Danio rerio: one gene and its partner. The protein of the gene in region 1 purifies or fractionates together with the protein of each later gene. This does not show direct contact. Links are inferred from orthologs where the notes say so. Each region holds a gene or a part of one and is shown on either strand. Other genes may lie near its edges.

Region 1 (3,073 bases):
AACAAAGCATTTATTAATATACAAATTAACTTAACTATTCATATACGCCTTAATAATAAGAATTATGTTTATCTAAATACTCATTCTGAATGCTATTAAAAAAACACCAACTTAAATGAAAAAAACACCAAGCTTAAATAACTGGTTTGTAAATAATGCAATACTTAATTTAGTAATGAAAAATAAATCATTAACAAAGTACGAAAGTACAATTATTAAGCACATTATAAATGTGCTTATAAGTACAGAATACAGCATTGGTAGCTGCAGTTATAAACTGCTTACTAACATCTAGTAATGTTGAGTTAAAGCTTAACAAAATGAATTCAATATATGCTAATGCTTAATAATTGATTCATAGTGTTATTAAAAAGTGTTACCAATAAACCTTGTGACCCAATACACTGCACATTCAGAAGATGAATACATTTTCCAAAGAAAATTAAAAATACTGGAGGGCTGCTATCAGCTGAGGGAAAAATACATAAGAAAAACACCATCAAATCAGATGCACATTTATTTACATAAGCGGTGTACAAAAAAAAACACAACGACACATTTATGTAAAAAACAAAACATTTTCCATACATTTTATAGATATAACATATTCACTGACACACTCTCTGAAATGTGTGATCATCATAGTTGCACACATGACCAAAAAGATGAAGTCATTAGGAGAAAGAAAAAAATAAAACATAGAAAGTAAAAGTGCATGTGTCAGTATGAAAACTCTGCGTCTGCGGACTGGAATTCGTTGCTTTTCTTCATCAAGGCAGCTTTGACGGCACTGATCTTCCCATCGAGCTCAGCCAGACTGTAGTTCTGTGAAAACAAGAGCGTTTTCATCAGCTAATACCTTCTCTTTCAACAGCGGGACCTTCGTATTTTTTTCTCTCCATGAAAACGCAAATGAATCAGTAATGGAACTTACCTGCGACATTGAGGCTTTAGGTCGTTTGTGCGAGTAATTCTGGGCGAAAAAAAAGAAATGAAAGCATGAAACGAATGCTGATTTATATGAACAATGCACATCAGGCGTCATTCAAAAACACGCTGCAGCATTTATCTCAATATCAGACTAAACAAAAACAAAGAAAAACTATTACAAGGCTGCTTTCACAAGGGGGTGGAAAAAAATACAGCAAAAAGGGGAGAAAAATGTAATGGCAGCCAAAACAAAAAAGCCGAACCAAGGACAAGCGTAAGTGGACAGAAACGGCACATGATTAGAGTATGAAACGGAGATGTCCTTCAGCATCACTCAATCACTGCCAACAAACCCGAGCCGCTATGGACTTGCACTGATTAATAGTATTAAGTGGGGGCCATTGGGATTTTTTCTGTCACCCAATGGCCCTTTCATTTGTTCTGTCTATCTCTTTTTATCTATTACCCATAATTTATCTCCATTTTAATCACTTTTCATGGGTGCATATGGACCCACTTGGCAGATGCATGATATCCGCTCACCCTGGTCAGTAGAGTTCAATTAATTCATTCGACTTGCTGAAAGCTGCGGCGCAAACTAAGAAGATCAGCATATTTGACGGCACTCAATGTCCCACTTTACTGGCAATATGCAGACAGACACACACACACACACACACACACATACACACACATTGTAAAGGACATGGAAATCAGCTAGCTTTCAGCCCAGCACTGAACTAAGTGAAGCTGGTGTGAGGAGGCGTAGAAACGGTTCAAGAGCACTTACTCAGCTAACTTTGATGGGCTACAATCTGACAGGGATAACAAATTCTGAAGTGAGCGAAAAAAATATATATCACTCATATCAGCTTTTAATGGTTTTGAAGAACTCTCCGGCCAACTGTCGTGAACGCAAGAGGAAACACATGCGAGAAGGACGTGTTGTGGTACAGTGGGAAAAAACAAACAGTGGAAATGGCAACAAACAAACAAATATTACTAAATGGGTCAAAAGAGGCCATTTATCATATATATGTATGTATGTATCATGTCTCATTAATGGATAAAGCTATGGTACCTTAACACAGTGTTTCTCAACCTGGAGAACAACCAGCTCTGCACATTTACCAAGTCTCCTTAACCAAACACACCTGATTCAGATCATCAGCTTATTAGCGGAGACTGAAAAACCTGTAATGAGTGTGACAGACAAAAGGGACATCCAAAACATACAGTGCTGGTGGGACTCTTCGGGAACGTGGTTGAGAAACACTTGCCTTAACATGACACGTGCTTTACAAACTAAAAAACAAAAAAACATTTATGCATTCTTGAAATGTGGAAAACAGAGAAAATGGGCATGCTAACATTAATTTGCGTAATAACAGCATTCTGGGTGTCTAAAAATGTTCCAAAGTTATCATATGGAGTCAATCTAGGCTCATATATACATATATACTTGCAAAATAAAGTTTTAAACAATAAATAAATAAATGCAAATTAAAGAAAAAAAAATTAGCAAACAAAACAAGAACTGCAAATACAAATCAAGCAGTGCTATATATATATATATATATATATATATATATATATATATATATATATATATATATATATATATATATATATATATATATATATATATATATAGCACTGCTTGATTTGTATTTGCATATATATAAAATAATAAAAACGATATATATTTGCAAAACAATTTTACAGCATTGCCTTTACAAAACCCGTACAGTCAATTGCAATGCTCATTTTGATTAACTTTTTAGTCAACCGTGAGTTTGCGATGCTGTTTTCAATTTTCGTTTCTGCGTGTTTTACTTTGTGGCCCTGATGTGAAAAGAAGATTGAGACAAGGGAACTTGGGCATTTACCGGACCTACTGGGCTGTGACAGGGTATATACAAAAATCAGAGAATGAAATTTAATACCTTTAAAGGCCTTTTTTAAGACTCTTTCCATGCATTTTAAGACCTCATCGGCAACATTTTAACTTACAGTCTACTAAATACTAATTGTAAAACGAATACATTATTCATATACTGATTTAAAATGCTAAGCCAGGTGGCGCCTATAGAACAGCAGGAATAACAGTGTTTCCATGGCAATAGCAATAAACAAAGCAGGG
Region 2 (3,500 bases), on another chromosome or scaffold:
AATTCTTATATTCACTAAGGTGCCGCTGTTTGGGGTCGATAGTTGCATTACATCATCATCATTAACGTTAGTTAACCTGCAGGCTGCATTTTTCTCACGGGGCTGCGAGAAAATAAATAAAAAGAGCGGCACTACGGCAAAATAATGATTAAAAAAAGTAAAGCTATGGTCAAATAAATAAATAGAAGAAAAAAGTGTGACTGCTGAGAGTGCAAGCAGCTAGGGACACCGGCCCTCGCGGCCAAAAAACAGACCGGCCCACCGGGAATTCTCCCGGTCCTCCCGATTAGCCAATCCGGGCCTGGTTTCAATCGAGCCGAGACCACCTCATTCAGGCGATTCCGGGCTAATTGTTTTGCTGCGGATCAGAGAGCATTTGCTGATTCACATATGCCAAACGAACCGCGCTAACTGGGGAAATGAGACAGGTTCCGAAACAAAAGTCTAGGTGTGAAAGCACCCTAAGATTACAACAGAGAAAATTAAGATTAAAACAGTCCTCTTTTTTTAGTGTATTTTTGGCAGGCACAATGGTGTGATTAATAGTTATTTGTTTATTTCAACAAATAAAGTTGGGAATAATAATTACAATTGCGAGACTTCAATGTTCTTTTTGTCAGGAGCATTTTCACTTTCTCCTGCATTCACAGGCGTGCTTTTGTTGAAAGGTTTAAAATGATAAGGCAGTGGCCCTGCACTGTCATCAAACAGATAATGTGACTGAGGAGAATCTGGTGGAGAGAAATCCTGCACTTTTTTACACAGCTCTTAGATCCGCTGCTCTCCGAGTCACAGTCTATCTCGCCTGTGCGTGTGTTTGAAAATCAGCATGTGCACGTACTGAAACTCCCCTTTTCATGCAAACCCTTCCTCTTTCGCCACTTGACACGCCCACCCAAACAGAGCTGGACCACTTTTTTCAAACTAGAGGTGTAAAAACACCCTGCTGAGACAGGGGGCTTCATGGCTCTTTAAACAGTCACAAACCCTTTGTTGTAGTAAATAATGTGTAAAGATAAATATACAAATTATGTGTACATTACATGACATATAAAGAAAATAATACAAATGTAAAATTAATTTAAAAAAATGATTATACCTTTTTGCTGTACATGCACACATTGGGTGTTCTGCCGGGCACTGGAATTCCAGCCTTTGTCAGTTTTATGAAATACTTCTGCACCCTGCTAGCAACCTGCAGAGAAAAGCAACAAACATTTGACATAAAAAGAGCTGGCCATAAATTCAGTGATGAAGCTTTCTGACCACAGCTTTTATATTTTCAGACTCTTGTCACATTAGCAAAAAAAAAACCCATCTGTAAACAACAGAGCTTCCATTAAATGAGGCTTTGAATTGCATGACTTATTTATTGAGCAGTGAAAATGTGACTAGAAAGAGAAGTCCGTCAATGCTATGAGAGAATGGGCAGGCCCTGAAGACGCACCTGTTTGGCGGTCCTGTTGCCAAGTTCATCTGCGATCTTCTGCCAGCGTTTAGACTCAACCTCCTCTGGTGGGAACTTCAAAAGCAGCTGCTCCAACTTTTTCTACAGGTTTCACATACAAGATGAGATGAGAAAACAGCTACACCAAAGACTAAAATGTACATAATAGCATACGTTCACAAATTTAAATGGACAATTGTTAGGGCTGCACGATATTTGAAAAAATTAGCGATATTTTGTTTTGTTGCGATATAGATTGCCATATAAACAGCATGATTTGGAAAGAATTCATTAATTTAGACTGGGGATTATTCTGGAAGAATATAGGGATTACTACTGAAAACAATAGAAGTGAAATATTTTAAAATCACAGTATTTAGGTACAGAAGTTAAATATTCAAATATAGAATATTCACACTATACACTTACTGGCCATTTTATTAGGTACAGGTGTCCAACTGCTTAACGCAAATTTCTAATCAGCCAATCACATGGCAGCAACTCAAGGCATTTATGCAAGTTGACATGGTCTAGACGATCTGCTGCAATTTAAACCAAGCATCCGAATGGGGAAGATGGGCTGGTCTGCGTATTTCAGAAACTGTTGATCTACTGGGATTTTCATGCACAACCATCTCACGGGTTTACAGAGAATGGTCAGAGGAAAATGGCCAGACTGGTTCCAGCTGATAGAAAGGCAACATTAACTCAAATAACCACTTGTTACGAGTGAGGTATGCAAAAGAGCATCTCTGAACGCAAAACATGTCGAACCTTGAGGCGAATGGGCTACAGCAGCAAAAGATCACACTGATTCCCAACTTTCTTCCCAGAAAAAGTGTGAGTTTGAACTGTTGTTACTCCATTTTCTGTGCAAACTCAAAACATTGGCAAAAAAACACAGTTTTACACAGAATCCCCACTGCCAACTACTATTTCGGAAGTGTTATTGCAGAGCAACATGGACAGAACGCAGAAGTACAATTGCTCACAAGGATATCAGCAACATGGGGGGGATGCCAATCTCACAATAATAAAGTATAAATTGGACTAACAGTGTTACAACCTGTGCACATTTAATAGTTTGTTTAAATTTGTTTATAGACGTCTCAGAGTTCACAGCTACTAGTACTACCTGCTCCTCGATGGTCCACAGCTGGTTGAAGGTGTCTGGTTTGCTCTGGTTGCACAGCCTTCCTCTGATCATCTAAACAAACATCATCAGTAGGAAAATCAACAAAACAGCATACATGGGCATTGTGGCTACACTACACACACACACACACACACACACACACATATATATATATATATATATATATATATATATTTTGTCTGTCTACAGAACAACCCGTCGTTATACAATAACTTGCCTAATTACCCTAACCTGCCTAGTTAACCTAATTAACCCCATTAAGCCTTTTAACGTCACTTTAAGCTGTATGGAAGTGTCTTGAAAAATATTTAATCAAATATTATTTACTGTCATCATGGCAAAGATAAAATAAATCAGTTATTACAAATGAGTTATTAAAACTATCATGTTTAGAAATGTGTTGAAAAAAAAAATCTTCTCTCCGTTAAACAGAATTTGGGAAAAAAATAAACAGGACGACTAAAAATTCAGGGGGGCTAATAATTCTGACTTCAACTAACCTATTAAAGTTAAATATTAATGGCAATAGAACTTGGGTTGCTCTACAATTATATATTTTTTTAATTATGGCAATAATAAAAATAAAATACTGACCTTTTTTTTTGTTTTTATTTTGCCCACTCAACAATTCACACATTACTGTCTAGCTAGCTTAGTTATCACCAATAAAGCCTAGAAATTGGGAAATAGTTTGAAAAGAAAGACAATTTCAAAAGAGGGCAAATAATTCTGATTCAACTGCGTCAAAAACATAATTTGTTATTTAATTTTAGTTTGTAACTTGTAAATTGTTTTAAATTTAAAATTGTCATATATACATCAGTGTGAAGCCTATGAATGGTGGAACACATATTCTGTAATATTAAAACCACCTGGGTCTCCACTTTTGCATGGTCT

Evidence for each region.
Region 2: the proteins of mbip (region 1) and zzz3 purify together in Homo sapiens (affinity purification with mass spectrometry; 4 studies listed by BioGRID and IntAct, counting the BioPlex papers as one, with this or other methods). This does not show direct contact. The link is inferred for Danio rerio from reciprocal best matches to the Homo sapiens genes MBIP and ZZZ3.

The regions. Positions count from the first base shown.
Region 1 is NC_133192.1:40,174,217-40,177,289, reverse strand, and holds the end of mbip (MAP3K12-binding inhibitory protein 1), read right to left. Parts: intron 974-3,073; coding exon 935-973; intron 826-934; coding exon 721-825; 3' UTR 501-720; downstream 1-500. UniProt on the Homo sapiens protein: Inhibits the MAP3K12 activity to induce the activation of the JNK/SAPK pathway. Component of the ATAC complex, a complex with histone acetyltransferase activity on histones H3 and H4.
Region 2 is NC_133177.1:9,166,339-9,169,838, reverse strand, and holds part of zzz3 (ZZ-type zinc finger-containing protein 3), read right to left. Parts: intron 2,655-3,500; coding exon 2,583-2,654; intron 1,550-2,582; coding exon 1,448-1,549; intron 1,196-1,447; coding exon 1,100-1,195; intron 1-1,099.